Oreochromis niloticus: one gene and its partner. Each later gene encodes a partner of the first gene's protein in a complex. Links are inferred from orthologs where the notes say so. Each region holds a gene or a part of one and is shown on either strand. Other genes may lie near its edges. The genes, in order: ush1c and anks4b.

What was found.
Region 2: ush1c (region 1) and anks4b share a complex: the UniProt entries of both Homo sapiens proteins name them as parts of the IMAC/intermicrovillar adhesion complex. The link is inferred for Oreochromis niloticus from reciprocal best matches to the Homo sapiens genes USH1C and ANKS4B.

The regions. Positions count from the first base shown.
Region 1 is NC_031972.2:60,242,630-60,252,932, forward strand, and holds the start of ush1c (harmonin), read right to left. Parts: upstream 4,722-10,303; 5' UTR 4,648-4,721; coding exon 4,612-4,647; exon of another isoform or gene 4,601-4,611; intron 2,853-4,600; coding exon 2,785-2,852; intron 1,607-2,784; coding exon 1,463-1,606; intron 1,336-1,462; coding exon 1,197-1,335; intron 1-1,196. Other genes in the region: ccdc77 (coiled-coil domain-containing protein 77), read left to right, coding at 5,980-6,014, 6,380-6,566, 6,668-6,810, 7,151-7,247, 7,511-7,601, 7,785-7,876, 7,997-8,145, 8,322-8,577 and 3 more. UniProt on the Homo sapiens protein: Anchoring/scaffolding protein that is a part of the functional network formed by USH1C, USH1G, CDH23 and MYO7A that mediates mechanotransduction in cochlear hair cells. Required for normal development and maintenance of cochlear hair cell bundles.
Region 2 is NC_031969.2:19,098,901-19,110,009, forward strand, and holds anks4b (ankyrin repeat and SAM domain-containing protein 4B), read left to right. Parts: upstream 1-7,021; 5' UTR 7,022-7,359; coding exon 7,360-7,520; intron 7,521-8,517; coding exon 8,518-9,622; 3' UTR 9,623-10,062; downstream 10,063-11,109. Other genes in the region: slc25a17l (peroxisomal membrane protein PMP34), read right to left, coding at 2,596-2,743, 2,851-2,936, 3,597-3,692, 3,843-3,988, 4,079-4,195, 4,453-4,607, 4,868-4,934, 5,293-5,353 and 1 more. UniProt on the Homo sapiens protein: As part of the intermicrovillar adhesion complex/IMAC plays a role in epithelial brush border differentiation, controlling microvilli organization and length. Plays a role in assembly of the complex.

The DNA of each region.
Region 1 (10,303 bases):
GGGATTTTTCAGTCGTGCGACCGTTTGGGGGATCGGCCCGAGTTTCGCCTTAATTGTGTGTTGTGCATCCTGTAGTATACATGGGGTAATGAGAAGCGATTAACACCTCATGACCAGCTCCCGATCACCAATCATATGGTCACAAGAAAATCAAACCTGTTTGAAATCCTGGTCGCCCCTCGTGAGGGTATCGCGCTGTTGAAGCAGTGCCAGGAGCCAATTTAACGCAACCTCTCACACTGTGCATGCACAAACACAGAAATTGAAGTGAAAAAGATGGCGAAGCATGGCAGTGCAGTGCAGCGTGTGATCTGGACACAAGCGATGGAGGCCCAACTTGTAGAAGTTTGGCAACCTCACCTAAGCCTTTTCGATGTGGCCTCACAAAATCATCACGACCGCAACAACCAAGAAAAGAGTTGGATGGACATGCTGCTCAATTATGTTTTTCATTAGCAGTTTAGCAAAGTTGATGGTGGTGGTGGTGGTATGTGTGTGTGTGTGTGAAAGACAGAGTGCGAGACAGACTTTGTGTTATATATTAGCTATATAATATAAGCGCATTGGGCCGTGTAGTGTGAGAACATGCATCGTGACCTATGAACTTCTAACCTGCAATTCAGTCGTACAGTTTGGGCAGGAGCCAAATAATGCGACTGAAAAAAATCCCACAGAGTATGCCCAGCATAAGGCCAGTTTAAAACACTACACACTTGCAACAAGAAAAGAAAAGTATTCAGTTAAAATTTTAAATCTCAGATTATAGATTCTTGTATTTGATTAGGCCCAAAATGATCACCATTATCAAAGGTCTCAGTAGTAAGTAGTTATTTTGTTATAACAGTTATAAAAAAGCTAAGGCACAAAAACATGTAAAAAAAATAGATTAAGTAAGTACAATGGTACATATATATGACAAAACAAAAAAATACTGGCAAACACCAGTGCTACCACTGGTGCTACCATAAGATTAAATGGAAAAAATAAGCACTAATCGAATTTAAGTTTATTCTTTTACTGACATTTTCTGTTTGTATTCGACTAGAACTAGGAATATTAAATCCACCCCCATTATAAAGAGATATAATTATTCCACATGTGGATAGATTCGTAAATAGTGCTGTAACCCCGGTCTATATATTTTTTTAAAGCATAAAAAAATCTGTAGAAACAAGCATAAATTATAATTATAGTACCTGTAGGCCCACATTATCAGCTTGTCCATCTTTTATAATCTGGGATATATAAAGACCACAGCCAAACTCAAGCCCTCCTCGGACGCTCAGACCTAGACCATCGCGATTGGTCCGATCCAAACGCACCTCTTTTAGCTTCCTGCACACATCAGGTGAGAAAATATAAAGCAAGATGTACAAGCCAATGAAAGCTAATATAAGGTAAATGCATGCCAGGGTCAGTAACTGCATGCTAGAAAGGCAATAAATAACCATGTTGTACTCACCTTGACCTCTTGGGGGTGAGCAAGTCATACTCCACCTGGTGCTTGAGAGGGATGAGAGGTCGGATGGCGTCAAACAAGGGGAGACGCTTTGGTTCGTTAATTACCAGCTTTAGGTCTCCCACCAACACTCGCAAATCCATCGACCTGGAAAGTGAGAGAAGGATAATTAGTGGTTTCACAACAATTTACCAGATCTGCTAATTTAGGCAATTACAAAACGGTGACAGCTCCCCTTGAAAATCAAACAATATGAGAAAGTCTGCAAAAAAGTGATTTCCAAAAAGGCTGGGATGCTGTGCAAAATATAGATAATTATTTAAACTCATATTTAATTGTTTTTTTTCAAAGAGCTAGTGCTTAGTCATTTTTGTTTCATAATATGCCAAATGGTTTTAAAAGCATGATATGTCTGGAGTGCAGGTGGGTCAGTTTAGGAACCAGACTCTTTTCCTGATCCGTGTGGGATTTTTCCCTTGACATTGACAAGGAGATGAAAATCTCACCTCTATCAGAGTCTACACACCCGATTTTTAAAATGTTTGCACTTTACCTTCTGCACCAACTGATGCAATTTATCAGGGTTAGCACAGCAATCTCTCTAGAGCCACAGGCATTTTTCCTCATAATAAAAAAACTTCAGAAAACATCCAAATGTACCTTTGAGTATTTTTTTTATTTTAGGATAAAGGGCAATTGGAACAGCAATTAAAGCAGCAAAGTAAATGCTATGGTATGAAATTCTTCCAGGTCACCTTCCTTTTGAATAATTAATATGTGCCATTTTAGCTCCATTTGGAGGTTGAACATAAAAAGAGCTTTTGTTGATAACTGGCCAGGCTTGTCGGAGCTCAGTGGAAACTGATCAGAGGCTTAACCAATAGGGTCACAGGACTGTGCCTCTGTACAAAGATTAATTGAAACCTAGACCTATCCCTTCCCCCTCTCATGCCATCCAGGACCACATTTTCATCAAAAAACACGACCCAGGGAGGATCTGAACCAGAGGTCTGCGTGCATTAAAACTGTCAGGGACAAGATTAATGGCTCCTAAATATTATTCATGAAAATGTTTAAAGCTAGAGAAAACATACAGAAGCACAAGAAGATGTTTTTTGTAATTAAATCTATACAAATACTACAAAGACCCATACGTGTCTACAGTTTCTTTGTTGTAACCCTTTTTGGCTATAGTTGTGCAAAGTTATTTAAGGACATAATCTATTCCATAATCATCAATGTTTTAGTCATAATGTGTGAAAAATCAGTGAGGAAATACAACACACACTCTGTAGACATGCTGAGCAGTGACAGATGGTACTCACTGGTGATACATGCGGAGGACGTCATACAGGTAATCCTTTTCTGCTTCATTTTCAATCAGCAACTCCACCTGCAAGAAAACACAAGCATCTGGTACCATCCTTCATCATTAAGCCCCCTGAAACACACCGTATCTCTCCCCTGTTTTCCTGTCAGCTACAGGGGGTGAGCCCCCTGTGTGTGTGTGTGTGTGTGTGTGTGTGTGTGTGTGTGTGTGTGTGTCCCCAAGTCATACAAACCTGATGACGGTTCAGTTGCAGCAGGATAGTTTTAAGGAACCGTTTGGGCCAGTCGCTGATATAACACATTTCACTATCTGTTTCCAGCAAAATCTCTCCTATAATAAGCTGAAAGCCTCACTTTCTAAGACATTAAAGTTCAGATAAATCCCTGGATGATGAGGGTCCATGTGCTAAACGTGAAATGGGCTGCCCATGTCTAACCACCAAACCCCTGGGAGGAAATAATGGCCACAGGGATGAGGAGAGGCTGCAGTAGGAAGGTCAGGAGTGTCACCTTACATCTCAAAAAGAGGTAAACATTCACACATGCACGCCTCATGTTGAATAATCAGACCTCAAATTAAAGAACAGGCATCATAGAGCACACACCCTCCGAGGACCATTTCTGCAGGGGTTAAAGTTAAGGCAGAACCACTGAGCCACACAGGGTGTGTGAACGGTGTTTATGATGGTCATAAACTTCTCTTTTTCCTGCAGAGTGAGCCACATGGACCTTGGCACCATAAACCAGTAAAGTATAGATAACTTGTTAGGCAGATAAGCATTTCTGGTTTAAAGATCAGAACTGTTTTCATACAGTGAGCTTCTCTGTCACAATGTAGTACCTACAGAATAAAAATGTGTGACTTTTATGCAAATAAAAACACAATAAAATTGCACAATAATCCAATTTTCAGGTGAATCAGACCATACAACTGACAAACATCCTCAACCAAACAATTAAGACAGTGTCGCAAACAGAAACAAAGCCCATTTGTGCATCATTCACCACTCAGCCTCTAATTAAACCCGTAAATTGTCGCATCTCTTCCGCTTAGCTGCTCGTATCTGACACATTATCTAATGCTAAAGCGCCCTTTGTGGAGAGCCTACAATATGGGACTCTGCTTGCCTGCGTGCAGCACAGATGGCTGTGAGGTGATCCCTACATGCTCTGGGGATGAAAAAGCCTTGAACATATCGTGTTCTCTTCATCTGTTATCTTTGCTGCTGATGACTTTCTGGGGGAAGTAGTCAACACCACCCACACATCAAAGTATAATTTCAAGCTGATTCACTGCATGAATGAATCCTGACTCCTAATAACATTTTATACTGCTTGTTGACTATAGTGACCTCTGCTGTGTAACTTTTACCTGAGTAAGAATAAGGTACCAATCAGGGAGGAAAGCTGTCCTACAGCAACCTCTTAAGGCTTTAAAGTATGGAAAATTGCGCAAAGAGAATTAAGTGTCACCAAAAAGACAAAATCCTCCGACACTCGTTTCACTTGGGCAACAGATGAGATTAGAAGCAGATGTTTCAGCTAAATAAAAACCCGTTAATCTACTACAACAACATTAAAAACAAACAGCAACTTTATTTCTTAATGATATGTTTGAATTACTGTTCAAATAAAAGTTGAGTTTTTTTGTTTTTTTTATTCGTCGCTTTGTCGGGCAGGCCTGTCTACGCAACATCTCACCGGCAGACACCTGAGCCAGCCAGCGAAAAGACAACCAGGTAAAAAAAAAAAGAGCTTCATTTAACATCCAGTTAATTCATGTTAGGATAGTTAAAAAAAAAATGTTGTTATTTTTATCATACCTTGTGCCTAAATTCTCGAGCAACTTTCCGCTCCATTGTTGAGAAACACCACAAAACGGTCCGACGTGAGATCTCAGCGTTGGTCAAGTTTGACGGGACGCGGCCGGAGGTCAATACGTCAAGGTAGTAGGACTGCAATCAGAGCTTCCGGTTAAAAATGTTATAGTAATATGCTTATTCGTCAAAATTAAAGCGGTCTTTGTTGTAAATATAGTCGCTTTTAACATTTAAAAACATATTATCCACAAAATATAATTGCTGTACACTTTATTTCAAGCTCAAATTTATAATTAAGACCTTTATTTTGAAGGGTTCACTGTGTAGCTTGGACTTCTTGCTAAGTCTGATTAATTTGTTGATAATCAAACAAATACATAAATGATTGATTGAATAAATACATAAATTTAAAAAACATACACGTCATCATATTTTTTTTTATAAATATATTCATGATAATAAAATATTATATTTAATTTTTTATTTTTTGTCGCTACGGTCGCTAGGTGGCAAAATAACGTCTGTTGCGGCTGAGTTTCCTACGAAGAAGAAAAAGGGGCGGTAACTTCCTGGTTTCAAAAGAACAACACCGCGGCGCTGCTAGACTGTTTAAAGTTGTGACGGGTGAGTAAAATTCAGAAGTATTTAAGCGAAAAGAAAGCCTGGATAAACGTACGACAGCTATAATGGTGCGCTGTATGATATGACATTTCTTATTTCTCATGAATTCATCACCATGAAACATAAAACATACTTAATAGCGACTTATTTTGCTACGACATGCTCTTTTTTATAGATTATTTTTTATGTGAAGTAAAAGTTCTTTATGCCCAACTGAATCATTGACGTGGCAGTTTAATATGGGTTTAAAGCGTTAAATTATCCCTCTGCAAGAATAGCGGACTGGTTTCAAAAGTCCCGCTCCCCCTACCGCCCAGTCTGCGGTAACCGAAATATACGACTGATATAAATTACCCTGTTAGCTCTGCAATCCAGATAGTGTTACCTTTTCACAATTATTGCAAAATGCCACTCTAGAAGTTCTTTTAGTTGACGTATTCACCGGTTATGTAACGTGTCATAATAATTGGAAATACTGCAAAAGGTAATATTTTTGCTTGTCCACCAACTCCTAATACAAGAAGTGTTTATTTTTTTCTAATGCTGTAAATGTTTCACTATTTGTATAATTATATCTATTCTGCTGACTCCGTTAAAGTTCTTTACATAATTGGACGCTTAAAGTATGTGGATATTAAGACCACAAAACTATTTTAAGTGCTCATGATTTAAAAACAACTGATTATTCATATAAACCTTTTAAACATCTTTATATGTATTTTCCATTTTGTTTACAGTGTCTGCAACAGGATGGGGTCCCCAAAGAAACATGCAACACCACACAGGTAAAGAACATACATTTGACACGCTGAACGCTGAACTTATGTTGCCATAGCACAGAGTGAGCCAAAGTAATGCTTTTTACTCTAATCTCCCTAAATGATACTTGGATTTATTGTGACAGTCTGGTTCCCCTACTGTTACAGACTCATCCCACATGGATTAAGCGTTATTACCTAAATGGGTTTAAATTCTTGGGTAATCCTTTACGCAGTTTATATGTCATGGGTAAAGTGCTGTGGTATTGTAGCTGATACAGTTACAACCAAAGTGTGAGTCTTCAGTCCCCAAATGTAAATTGTATGCCAGTATCATCATCTTTGAAATGGTTCATGTTCTTTGTTTTCTTTTTCTGTTTTTCACCCAACAGGACTAATATTCGTACCCCGGGTCAGGAGCTTGACTCGCCACTCCCCCCTATTCACGAGCGTCTGGCGCAACTGCGTCCATCCAGAGAGCTTCTGGAGTTCTACAGACAGAAGATTGCCCAGTTTGATAGCGAGCACTTGGAGCTGCTGCAGATGCTGGAAAAGTATAAAAGCCTCACTGAAGATCAGGTGAGAGATGGGAGTCAATGTGAGAGGCTTTGATTTTAAGCCATTTGTGCCAAAGAATCTTTGCCTAACTAATCTTGCCTCCCTTCATAACACCCTGAAAGCATAAGCTACAGTGGGAAATACGACAGCGCGAAGGAGAGATTGCAGAGCTTCAGAGTGCTCTGAGTGACATGCAGGTCTACCTTTTCCAAGAGAGAGAGCAGTCTCTGCGGCTTTATGCAGAAAACGACAGATTAAAGATCAGGTAGGTGTACAGTTCAACCTTAAGTATAGCATTAAATATTGATAAAAGTGAGTCACAGTGCCTGCAGAGAATGATTACTATTCTGTTAATAGTGATGATTTACTTTACCATCTGGCTTACTGCAACTAACCAAGTATTTTTTTTTCTACATATTTCTAATCATTTAAAACCAGTATTTTATGTTAACATATTTCTTTAAGAAAGTAGAAGGCTATACAAGTTATTCTTGACTGATAGCAGTAGGTGTGTAGCATTTGATATCTTAATAACTTGTTACCACCATTATCTGTTGTTGCTTCTGTGTATAAAACTTTATTACCATCTAGCCACTGTTTTACAGAGAGCTGGAGGACAGGAAGAAAATCCAACACCTTCTTGGTCTTGTGGGTCCTGACACAGGAGAGATTACATATTTCCACCGGGAACCTCCTCACAAGGTGCGTGCTTACATCATCGTAGGTCATTTTCTCAGTCGATGCTTTGAACTCAAATTATAATCTCAGTAAGATACGTTGGATTGACTGGTGCAGCTAAACAGAACTACAGCATTTTTAATGATATTACCAAAGTCCTTCTAAAAGCAAGCCTCTGTTTGGCTGTTATCTTGGTAATGCAGTCAGGCAGTTATTTAGGGTTATAACATTGAAGCTCCCAGAGTAGTTAAAAATACTGTTGTACTACTATTATTGCTATATTTCAGGTCACTATCTCACAGAGGTACCCAGAGTCCAGATTGGAGGAAAATCTCAGTCTTAGGCCAACAAAGTTGAGACCTGCTGCAACCAGGAAAGGTTTGAAAAAATATTTACTACAAATAATATTAGTTTATTTTGTCTGATTATTCAAGAAAATGTGAATGTATTTTATTTGTGTTGTGGTTTGTTTGTTTGTTTGTTTTTTAATCAAGTCATCACTACTTATGTATTTAAACTAGCCTTTTGTAATGACCATGCCATTTTGATTTTATATTTAAGCAGAGAGTGGCAGGAGAACAAAATTTGCAGATAGGGAAAATGGAGAGAGCTTGGAACAGTACAACAATGAGAAACAGACATTGTTGCTACAGGTATGGGCCCACTTTATGTATGCATGAAATGGGATTTCATTTATATGATCTGTTACAGAAAGTTAAACATTTCTTTCTCTTGTGCGTCTTGTGTTTACATTTTGTGGCACATGTCTCCAGGTGGAGGCGTTGCAGGCTCAAATGGAAGAGCAGACTCGCCTGGCCAAAGAGCAAGTGGACGCTCTGCTGGAGGATCGAAAGATTAAAACAGAGGAGGCCGAGGCACAGCGGCAGAGAGACCAGGACCGCATCGCTGCTCTGACTGACAAGTTAGTCTTATAGTTTATGTAGTTTATGTTGTCTGTATTTTTAGGTATTTATTATTGTGACTTATAGCTGTTTGTAAAACAAAGCTCTAGACATTTCTCTTCTTTTTGAAGTGATATCACTGTGGCTGACATTAAATTTCCAGATTTACTTAAATTTATCTCCTTTGACATGTCAGACTCCAGCAAACTCAGAACCTGTTGCATGAGAGCACCAGAGATTTTTTACAGCTAAAGTTTGACACACGAGCTAATGAGAAGAGCTGGATGGTAGAGAAGGATCGCCTGCTGAGGGAACTGGACTCCTGCCACAGCCGTCTTAGGAAGGCCAGGGGTGTCGGCACTGAGTCGGGGCGAACGTGGCAGCACAGCAGCAGCACAGCCCTCCCTCAGCCTCAGTCAGAGTCAGATCAGCCACACAAAGAGGAGCTAAAGGTAACATTAACTATTTGTTTGTGTTCATGAAAGTCTTTCCTGATTCCATTTTATAGGGTTGTATAAATGCCTTTTATAAATGCCCTCAGAATAAATCACAGTTTTTTGGCAAGTTCATTGTAGTCTCTTGTTTTTTCTTTATTCTTTTTTCAAACAGATATTGCAGGAGGAGCTGAAGCAAGCCAACCGTCTGGCAGACATGTACAGGGAGCAGTGCATTACTTTTGAAACAGAACTGTCCCAAATCAGAGAGGAAGGGGATGTGGGCAGGGAAATATTCAAGGTACACCAGTTTGATTGATGGTTTAGTCTGTACAAGCCTTATACACATCTCTGATTAAATGGTATCTGATATTGATGGCAATCACCAAGTTTCTTTTTACTGATACCTTGCTTCTGTGTGCAGGAGCGTTCAGAGAAAATGGCCAAGCGCCTCCAGCTGATGACTCAGCGTTATGAGGCATTGGAGAAGAGGAGGGTGATGGAGGTGGAGGGCTTCAAGGCGGACCTTAAACTCCTCAGACAGAAACTCAAAGATGTAGAAAAACAGCTTCTGAAGGTAAAAAGATCCAAACTGTGTGACCAATTGATTTTTGTTAGAAAGTTATTTTTTGATCTCAGCATGCCTGTGCTTGTTTTTACATATTATAAGCACTGTGAATTACTTTAATTTTAATGCAAAACAAAGTTAAGCAAAACTTTCACTCGTCTTCCTTCAATTTTTCCACCTTGCTCATGTCCAAAATCACATTTTACTAAGTATTGACTGGGAGATTCTCTTTTCATCAGGTTACCTTGAATGTGGGGCCCAACCAGGACTTAGCCATCCTTCATGAAGTACGACAAACCAATGCCAGGACCAAAAAGGTTCAGGGCGAGCTGATGGCTCTGAAGGCAAAAATCTATGGACTTGAAAATGAGCTAAGATACAGCTGAGGATAATGCTCTGATATTTTCTGTAATGTGTAGCTGTGTTTATCTGTTATGGTTGCTTATTCTGCTGTTTTTATTTTAGAAAACTAGACTAAATGTTATTGATATTTTGTGCTTTGGACCAATAAAAATCGTTGACCGTTATTTTAAATCAGTGTGCAATCAGTTCTTTATATTTAATTTAAAAAGATGCAGCTTTGAATTTTTTTTTACTGTGACAACCAAATGGTTGTCATTTTTATTTTTTAAATTGGGCAATTTTTTATTTAATTTTCATATACAGATGAATGTTGGATGTCATGGGATCATGGAACAGACGTTCATGTTCCACATCAAATGTGTAACCTTTATTCAAAACAAGTACATACTATTCAAAGTTTACTGAATATACATTTATTTTTACTTTTAAAATCATGTATTTTTAAAAATATGACATATAAGAATTTATGCTTATTAATGTGTTACATACTGTATAACCATTTCAATAAGGAGAGATCAGTAGAAAGAGTGAAGATGATGTATTGATGAACAGAATATAGACGGTTAGACACCGATGGCCTGTCTCAGCGGAATGGACCCTGGCTGTGAAAGGGATTAGAGCAGGACCCCCTGGAGCCGAGATGAAGGTGGCTTGAATGGAGTTTGAGTGATGAAAGGTGGAGGTGGGTTGCACAAAGGCGTAAAGGAGAATGACAGTAACCTAACTGAAGTAGGTAAAAATTAAACAAAGCTTGCTACTGGTTATCATAACTCAGATAAAATTAAGTAAAGTTTCTGTAAAACTAAATGCAAA
Region 2 (11,109 bases), on another chromosome or scaffold:
AATGAACTACATTTTATCTGGCATGTAATGATCTAAGCAAAACACAATTAAAGAAATCAGTATTGTTTCTCAATCTTTATTATTCCCTGGTTATAACAATAATTTAAAACCCACAAACACTGTAATGTTTATTTAAACAAAATTAGAAAATCTGCGTTTTGGTTTGGTTTTTTTCTTGTAAATGAGTCAAGATGATATCAGATAAGAACTGGATGTAAACAAAGTTCATTTTGTATAATATAAAAAGCAAAATTGTAAAGCTTTAATAAAAAAAAACAAAATAAAAAAAAAAACAGTTGGAGCTGTTTTTCCTAACTGCTACCAAAAGTAAGTGACAACTGGCAGAGGAGCTGAAATCTGGTAAATGTGTCACTTGGCTAGAGTACTGATAGTACAATAAAAGGTCTAAGTGCTGCGGTGTTAAAGGGAAGCGCCTCTCTTGGTTATAACCAAGACGTATAGAGAGAAAAACTAGTTTAACAACAACAGCAGCAGGAGGAGTGGATCAACTGTCAACTGGCATCAAGTTGAAAGGCAGCATTAACTGTCATTTACCACATTAGAGAGAGAGAAAATACTGTGAATCACTGCGATCCTTTACAAGTTTACACTACTTGCAGGGAACTGATAGAAATAATGGAAGACATCTGTGTGAAAGGAAAAGTGTGCACATCGAACACTGTGATATTGAAAACCGTAGAAAAAACTCTGTGCATCAAGTGTTTGTGTAGATCAACAGTCACTGAATAATTACAAAGTAAAAAAAAAATTAAACATCGACAACATAAAAAAAAGTGCAAACTGCAGCTCTTTAGAGTGAGACTGGCTTCAAAAGAGTCAAAACCCTGTAACCTTTGATGTTAAAATGCCCAGCTTTACAACAAAAATAAACGTGTTTACAACCTGATACAATTTCTTTTTGTCTTTATAACCTGTTAGCCTCAGTCTTTATAGCTTCACATGGTTGCTTTCTTATATAAACTTTACAAAAGCTCAAAAGTAAGAGGTGTGGCCACGCTGAGTTACAGGTACGTGCCGACACAGATGTCTGCTCGGCTTAACCAGCTTTTGTGGCCTTGGTGTCTTTTGTTGTGTAATAATCTCACCAGTAGTAAACTATCAAAGCTCAAAAAACCACCAAAACTTGATAACAACAACATTTTAGCAGCCAAAACCTTAAAATGCTGAGCCCAAAGCTAATCAGTGGTTGATAGTGGCTCCATCCACGTTTTATATTCAGTCTATGGGGGAAACAAACCTAATTCCTGCAGTGAGGAAATATTATACTCTGAGTGGTTTCATGAACACACCGTAAGAATCAGAAGCTACAGCTTTTGCAGTCAGAAGATCACAAAACAAGCCAATTTGAGAGAATTTGTGTGTAGGTGTTAGTCGTTGTACTCCACCACCAGCAACATAATGATGGTATGTTCTTTGGAAGAATACTGTTTATCCCTTTAAAGGTCCAAAGACTTGATGAAAATACATGCACAACTAAGATTTTTAGCTTGTTTTTTTCCTTTAATTTGTCACCCGTCTGTATATCAGTTCATACAGTTTTGTTTTTTTTTCATAATGCATTACGTTCAGAGGCACTTGGTACCTACAACTACTGCAGCATGTGCAGACACATATTCACTGTGCTTTTCCCTCAATTTATATTAAATTAATTTAATGAGGTTTCCATCTTGCAGGATTTCACAACTGGATAAATTCACAGTTAAAAACTTAAGTGTATGTAAAGAATGGTCCAGTGGTTTAGATTAAGCCAGCAGTAAACTTATCATCACGTGCAATAAAGCTCAAACATTAAGTAAAAGTCTTAAATTGAAATACACTTTTTCAAATTCATATGAAAATGTAAAGACAAATATCATTCATCTCCTATAGTGAAATATGAAACTACAGCAGCCTCATGACAAAAACTGGGACCAGGGGAAAGCAGCTAGTCTGGCACATTGATTTGAACCAGTAATTTCTTAAAAAGCATGTATATTTCCACGAGAGCTGTATCAGTCTTTCAGTGCAACCAGGATCATCTCTCAGGAAGAGGGCAAACAGGTGTATTTGTGTGTGCTTTTGCCTAAACTGTTTAAAAATAAATCAGCACCTGACAGAGAGCTTATTTTTTAACAGTAGAAAGTTCAGCTCTTTAAAAGGTGTTCTTTTTCCTTTTGTCTTTTCAAACAGTTACTCAATATAGGACCTGTTTAACTCACCTCACACTAGAAGATATTATACAGCAAACCAAACTAATAAATGATGTCTGTATGTTTTTCTTTGTCACATAAACTCAGTTAACTTTAGTCCCTGCAGGACCATGCTGAACCAAGAGAAATGCACCAGTGGAGAGGATGTGTATGCACAGATGTTCGCAGTTAAAGGTTAACAACAGCAATAATTAAACCCCCTCTGGTTATGTTATATAATTTGGGAATGGAATAGGAATGTGGGGCTCCCAAGGCACCAATGCGGGCTCATATTATTGTGCCTATGCGACGGAAACAATTCATAATGTTAGTAATAGCATCAGCAGGCTTTTAAACCTACTGAGGATGAGTGCACTGATGGTTTGCTGTGTTCAGGTAGCCGTCTTCAGTGCTTCAGTTTCTTGTTCATGCCCATGATTCTGAAGGTCACTGCAGCGATCTTCTCATACACAACAAACATGAGGGCAGCCGTCAGTACCGTCTGTAGCAGCTTGGCTTCCAGGCCTTTGTACAAACCGAGAGCGCCGTGCTTCCTGCGATAAACACGGGTATACAACTGTGACCACTGCTACATATTCACACATGTGCTTGTTGTGAGTCGAGTGAGTAGATAGTGCAATTTTAGAGATGCTGCACTCACTTGATCCGGTCCATGAGCAGGAACAAAATGTTAGAAAGGCTCCCCATCACACCACCACCCTTGGCGTCACTTTTATACTGGCCAAACTGATTAAAAAAAAAAAAAAAGCATAAAACAAGTGATCCATGTGTAGTAAAAATTCAATATCATTTACCAGTATGCATATTGGCTATGAGTGTTTGACGGTATTAACCATATAAAGATGCTCTGGTTTCTTTAAATTTTTCTATAAATACACACTCACCGGCCACTTTGTTAAACCGGTTCATCTGCTGATCAATAGAAATATCTAATCATCCAATCACATTGCAGCAACCCAGCTAATTTAGGGATATAGTGAAGTTGCTGCTGAGCATCAGAATGGGAAAGAAATGTGATTTAAGTGACTTTGAATGTAGCATGGTTTTTAGTACCAGGCGTTCTTATCTACTGGGACCGGATCTGAAATTTTTTCCCTAATAAAGTTTCTGGGGAGTGTACACAAAATTAAGTCAGATTTACAGAATGTTGTGTCACCGACTCAGCCAAGAGTTCCACTTTAGTTTTTAGTTTTTGAGGAAACATAATTTTGGCCTGTGTAAGAGTGTGATAGATGGCTTTTGGCACACATAAAATTACAGATACAATTTGTAGTTGTTTTTGTCTGTTCACTGAATTTTCTGTCATTGCAAAAATGTTGAACTTCATCAGCCTAATCTTTGAAAAACAGAATACAGGAATGACATTTTCCGTATTAGAGTACTTACCCTCAGTATGGCCTGAACTGTCTGCAGAGGATACGTGGCAGTGGTAGCGATGGCCTTGGCAATGGCTCCAATGAGAAAAATCTTTGCCGAGGATATCTGTGGTAAAAGATGAACTTTCACAGGTCAGGTGACTGATCGCTAAACAGGGTCCTGGCTGATCACAGCCCTTCAGCTATGTAATGACAGGATGCTGACTGATTAGCTTCAATAATGCAATATTGTATACATCACTTGCTCTCTTCTTACCTTCCTCCCTCCTCTGCCTGCCTTCCTCTTCATGGCCTCATAAATCATGAACTGCACAGCAGGGTTGAGGACGAGGACGAGAGAGGGCAAAGTGCCGTTCCACAGAGTTCCCACCCCCTCGTTGGCTATGATCTGTGAGAAAGCATCTGAAAGAAGCAGTGAGGTTTGAAAATCATACAGACACGAGACAAGCACGTCAGAAGTTTTGACCTATTTAACGGATATGAAGGACGCACCAAATATGCCTTTGTAGTGAGTCTGGTGGAGGTCTTCGTTTCTGAACTTTACCCCCTGCATCTTCAGTCGAGTGTTGACCACCCACATGGGAGTGGTCAGGATCACATTCACCACTCCTACATGAACAAGAGATATTCAAGTTTCTTGAATCCACAAACCAGAGGATAATATCACCATCTTTTTCATACAATCTGTGGGATACATACATGCAAACGTTTCACACACAAATCCAGGATTCATCCATTCAATCCAGGCATCTGTCACACAGTCACTCCCTCCACTTTTGAAAAGTTTGCCTACAGGCTTCTCTATTAATTGGACACCTTGGATCCATTTAAGTCTTTCAGATAATTTCCATCAGGTCAGTACTTACCTGACACAATTCCAATGAGCAAGTCTTTCCCAGGTCTGGACTGGCCTGGACCAGATGCCATCATCTTCTTCAGCGAGTTAAACGTGTAGAAGTAGACAAAATTGGAGCAGCAAAGGCTGGAGATAACTGGGAACCAGCCTCTGTATAGTGACAGACTGGGAGAGGTGGTGAAGAGGCATTTGAGTAGTGAGTTTTTAGTCATGTGGCCAAAACATCATCCTAAACCCTGGATTAGATTACAGCTGCAGCTTCCAATTATTTTCATTATCTGTTTATATCTGTAATTACCTTGTTCTTTTGGTTCATAACATTTGGTTAAATTATAAATGTGGTCAAATAAGAGCAAAACAAGGCTTAATTTGTGTAATTTCTAACCAGAAGCCTCAGTGATTTTAAATTCCCAAACTATACGTACAAGCCTTCTTCCTTTGCTATCTCAGCCAGAATGACTGGAGTTGAGTTCGACTTTCTCTTCTCATCCACTGAAAAACAAACACAAATATGCCAGAAATCACATAATGAGTCTCTGGACAATGATTTGACACACAAAGATCAGTTTAACTGCGTTATCTCAGCTTGTGGAATGTAAAAGAGTGGAAGCAGAAAGGCATGACACACCTTTTTATGCCTTATATAGAGCTTTGCAATAAAAAAAAGACACGTGAAACAACATAAACAGAAATGGATTGTTTATGAGGTAAAATAAAAACTACATTTATCAGTGCACTACTCTTTGGGATGCAGTTACAGTTGCTCTATAATGACCCCAGCGTTAAACTCTTTCAACTCTGCAGTTTATCAGGTAACCTCTGTCCAAGATGATAAAGCCCCCCAGCTCACCCTGGAGTCTGCTTTTGGCCGTGTCCAGAGGAAAGAAGACGGTCATAGCTGTCACACTCCCCTAAAAAGACAATGCATTGCAACATTAACATCCATACTGACACCTGAAAACACAACAACATCTAACACCATTGTTCAGCTTAAAGTGGTTTCTTCAACACCATGCTATCCTGCTATTAGAAGGATAATACCCCAACCCCCATAAAAAATAAATAAATAAGAAACAAAGCTACTCACCATTGCACCTGCCACAGCATGAACCAGCGTCTCATAGGATAGGAGGCCGACAGCCGAGCCACCGTTGTCGGACATCTCTGCAGGCTCTCCCCGGTCCAACCACACAAGCTAAACACCGGGAAGTAACTGCCGTGAACCCAATGGAAGGTGTCCGGGTTTTCCGAACAGTGGAAACGTTTTAAACAATAATTATTCACAACTTCATGTTACAAGAAGCTGAAAAGCGACAAGAAACAGAAACCAAAGAAGAGAGAGGAAAACTGTCAGATTGGGTTCACTCTCTTCTGGTCGGGGGGATAGTTCCTCCCAACATGCCGCTGATTGGACAGTTTCTTCTTCTTCTTTTGTTGACTCTTCTGTCGGTTCTGTTTCTTCTTCTTCTGTTTTTGGTAAACCATTAACTTTAGCAGAGTTTATGAGCCACCTACTGGACTGGAAGGAGATGTGGTGCAAAAACTATATGGGATTTTACAGCCCTTATTTGCGGCAGGTCACCACACCATGTGTGATTTTCCAGATTTTTCCTGACACAACCTCAAAGGGACAGACTTAGATATCGTAATCATCTAGATATGACAACACATATCTAGATGTCTAAAAGACTTACAGTAATGCTTTTTTTTAGTACACTTATGTAAAATACATATACTCAAATGCTGGACTTTATCTGGGCTTGTACACATACACTACTGTTACTTCACATCACTAGTTTCTCCAATTCATTTCATGGAGAAATGTCTCTTTTTAACGCTAAGCTCTAAGGATGAGCTCCCATGATGAATATAATATCTTGTAAAAAGAAAACTATCCTGCAATATTATTTTGAACCTAAACAAATAGCAAAATTAGAACATGTGACTAATCAGCCGTTTTTAAAAAAGTAAAGAAAACAATTGAATTGCATGTATAAAAAAAATGAAAGTGTACCTTGATTAAATATTCATCTTGCTAAAACAGTTTACAAACAAAACAATAAATGAATTTATCAAGAAAATAGATTAACATATGATTTAAATAATCACAAGCTGTTTGCAATAATTAATATTAAAAAATACTTTATTTTTCCTGATTCTTATTACCTTTGATACTTTAAGTATAGTGTGGTTATGTACTTTTGCTGTAATTAATGACCTATATTAACAATATAGATATTAAAAATATCTAATTAGATTAGATGGATAAATAGAGTGAGCAATAATTTGTTAATAATAGCTTTACTTATGTATTATACTTAAGACAGTTTTTAGGTATAAATGCTTTAAGTTAAAAAGTTAAATGTTCCAAGTTTTAAGTTGATTCAGGGTAACAGAGGGAGTTGATGTTTCTTTTTACACTTTTAAATACTTTTCTACAAATTACAGAATAAAAATGTATCATAAAAAACATCATCTTACAAATGTTGATGAAACATTTAGAGTTTTAACGAGCTAAAACCTAAAAAAAACTAGAAACAACAGATAATGTTCCATTGTCATTTTACTGGGCATTCTGGTCTACAACAATATATTATTCTTTCATAAAGATTGCTTTTGTCTTCAAACTTGTGAAGAAATAGTGATTACAGCAGAAACTCCTGCTGTGTGTGAACATGTTTTCCGGGTGAAATCGCAGAAAGTGATTTTTTATAGTGTTGAGGAAATGGGGCGGCTCACAGCAGTGAAGCGAACTTTGCTTTTGTTTTATGGCCCCGAGCTGCTGGTGCGTTGACGCCCAGTCATCACTTTGTTTGCTTGGTTCTGCAGTCGCTTCTGCTCATCTGACGTTAGCCAGGGGGGGCGCAGAGAAACCTAGATTTTTATTTTTCTCCAAGCTTTTCCCTTCTTACCAGAGATGTCTAGGTACCACAAAGCAGCGACTGATGGATACGTGGAACTCTTGAAGGAGGCCACGGTGAAGGACCTGAACACCCCGGATGAGGATGGCATGACTCCCACCATACTGGCTGCTTTTCATGGACATATCAGTGCTCTTCAGCTCATATGCAGCAGAAAGTAAGCTTTCTATTGCCTGTCCTTCATCTCACATCCTACACTGAGACAAAAACACAGAACGACCTGAACATATGAGTTCTCTTCAAGTGTTTTCTTCAGCCTGTGTAATTTTTCTGTAATTTATAAAGAAAACATGCAGTTAGACATAAATCTTTACATTTAAATAGATTATATTTTATAAAACCAAATAAGATTAAGATCTACAGTGGAACCAGGAACAGTGCTCACAGAGCAAAGGTTGACCAGCATGAAATAAAGTGTGTTTTATGCTTTCTCATACGTACTTTGTTTGTTTTTGGCACTTCATCTGAATTTTTTCGACAGCTATTGTTCACTCCATTTTAATGAGCTAAGACTTTATTTCCCATTAGCTGAGCCAAAAGTTTAACCAGCCCAATCCATCCCACAAAAACAAAAGAGCTGTTCATCCAGGCCGCGCCACCACCACCACCACCACCGCCGCCGCTACTCCCCTTGTACCTCCGTTCCTCTTTCACTACAACCAGGACCATACAAAATCTGTCCCAGTGCTCTTACAGACATTTGAGTTTCAGAGAATACATTAGATTTATTTAATTCTATTTATATTTTAATGGGCACAAAGCGTGTCTTGTCTACGTGGCCAGGATTATCTAAACCATTTCCTCTTTGGTCATTACGCAGCATGAACTGGGATTTATGACAAGGTGTAGCAGTCACACGGCAATCAAAACTTGACAGGGGGGCAGCAGTAAAAGGACTTTAAGTCTTAATAGCTCACCAATTAACTTCACCCATCTTTAATTCGTCATATGGATGTAGATCTATTCTCTGTTTTAATTTTATTTCCTGGACTGACATTTTTTAAATGTCATTTTCATCAGTTTATTATTTTCCCTAAATTCATGACAACTACTATGCATGGAGTTTGGTATAAATCAGGAATACAGAATAGCTAAATAATGAAAATATCATCACTAATGATAAAAAATCTTGTGTGTGTGTTCGTGTTGTACAGAGGAGATCCCAACAGGAGTGACATCTGGGGAAACACACCCCTGCACCATGCAGCAGCTAACGGCCACATGCACATCCTCAGCTTCCTGGTCAACTTCGGCGCCAACCTTTTTGCTCTGGACAATGAATTCCACACGCCAATGGATGTCGCCGCTTCACGCGACCACATGGAGTGTGTGCGCTTCCTCGACGCTGCTGCTGCAAAGCAGACCAACCAAAATCCAAAAAAGGTCGCCAATCTGAAGAAAGAGGCCGAAAAAGAGGCAGAGAAACGCGTGAAACTCTGCGAGAAGGTGAAGAAAAAACACAAGACCAAGATGGATAGAATGCAGCGTGGAAGCAACTCCGGCTCCTTTTCAGATGCAGGAACGGCGTCGCCAATGTCAAACAATGGCACCATCTCGGGCGTCAATGAACAGTTCTCCAAGCTCATCACTGATGATAAAGTTGGCTCTATTAAAGGCACACTCCTGAAGAAGTTTGGGAAGAAGGACAAAGGCACGCTGCAGAGGTCAGAAGGAAGCGGGAACGTTATCTTCCTCAAACCAGAGAGCGGATCTGAGAACCCAGAGTTTGTGGACGTCTTCAACGAGCAGGACGAGAACATGTTAGAAGAAATGGACAGCTTCGGAGATGATGACGACGATGGAGGCCAAGTGAAACAATCCATCTTCAATCGGCCCGGCCTTGGAGGCCTGATGTTCAGGAAGAAGATGGGGCTAGACTCTGACGACATCCCCAGCAGTGCCAATGAAAGCCTTGGTTACCTCGTTCAGAGCGAGCCGTTTGAGGCAGACGAAGACACCTCTGGCTTGATGGCGGGTGACAACACACTGCCGTGGGAACAGGAAGATCTGGGACTGGATGATGATGAAGATGAGGACACCTCTCCTTTGGATGTGTTCCTGTCCTCTATCTCCTTGCCAGATTTTACGCCCGCATTCAACAGAGAGCACCTTGACTTGGAGGCGCTCATGCTTTGCTCTGATGAAGACCTCAAAGGGATCCGCATCCAGCTCGGACCCAGGAAGAAGATCTTGGAAGCTGTTGCTCGGCGAAGAAATGCCCTGGAAAATGCAGGCATCATGAAGGACAGCTCCTTGTGATCTTATACAAAAACAGTTATTTATCCTCCAAATTTAAAATAAGCCTTTTGTCAGTTCGATTTCTGTATAAAACAAACATGATTCAGCAAACTAGTGAAAAATTCCAACATTTCTACAGATTGAACTTTATTGATCGTATTATGACAATATGTTCCGTGTATACCTGTTATATTAAGTTAAAAGTGCCATGACAGCATCAGCCAACAATATCAACAATATCTTATACATCTGGTTTTAAAACAAGAGAAAAAAAGGATAATTATGTGAAAAAAAATAAAGAATAATGAATAATAAAGTGTTGGTATTGACCTGCTGGCTGACTTTCTCCACATATGAGGTGATATGGCACACGGATGATTTGCTTGTGCAGCTGTATGTTTTATTGTAATCATGTCGACCTCAGACAACACACCTGCTAAATAAACAAAACGCGCATGCACGATAGTCTCTCCAGTTTAATATTTCCCAATGGATTTAAAAATTGCCCTGACAGGAACAACAGCAGCTATGAGCACAACAAAAAAGAGAGGAAAGCAAGCACAGGAGCCACAAAATGACTCACAGCAAACACAAGCAGGCAGGCTAAAACTGGTGAACTAGTAAACACAATGAAGTGACCTGAATAGAATAGAATAGAATAGAATAGAATAGAATAGAATAGAATAGTCCTTTAATTGTCCCACAAGGGGAAATTTGGTTGTAAGAGCAGCAAAAAACCACATATACAAACAGAACAGGACACAGGACATAGAACAGAAACACACACAGTTTTTTACATATTTACATCATGGACAATAGTTACCAAAACAGAGTACTGTACAGCTATTAAAGTTAAAGTACAGATAAGTGGCAAACCAGTTGTAGTGTGCAAATGGAGCAGGATACTGAAAGATGTTTAAATAGTTAAGAATATTTAAAATAATTAGAAAAGTTAAGATTGTGTATTGTATCTGTGCATTAAAAAGTAGACATGTAACTTCCAATAAGTTAGTATATAGAAACTGAGAAAAAGTAATGTGCAAGTTATAAAAGTAGTAGTTGTTCAGCTGATTAGTGCAAGTTACAGCGCTGGTGTGAACATCTATGTTTTTGTTGAGAGCAGTTTTGATTGTACAGTCTGACAGCTGCAGGGAGGAAGCACCTATGGAAATGCTCCTTCATGCATCTAGGATGCAGCAGTCTGTCACTGCTGACCAGTGAGTGTATATGTGTATATACAAAGAGCACTGATTAAAGCACTGAAATATTTAGGAGGAGGTGAAAAAAGGGACACACACACACACACACACACACACACACACACACACACACACACACACAGGGAATCACTGCTCAAAACTAAAATAATAAAATGAAGAGAGTAAACCGAAACCCCAAATCACAAAACTCATCACTAGATTAACAAGACAAATGAAGGTCAAAACTGGAAACATAAACTTGGACATATCACAGCTCATCATCAGCGGAAATAACAACGAGAATAAGAA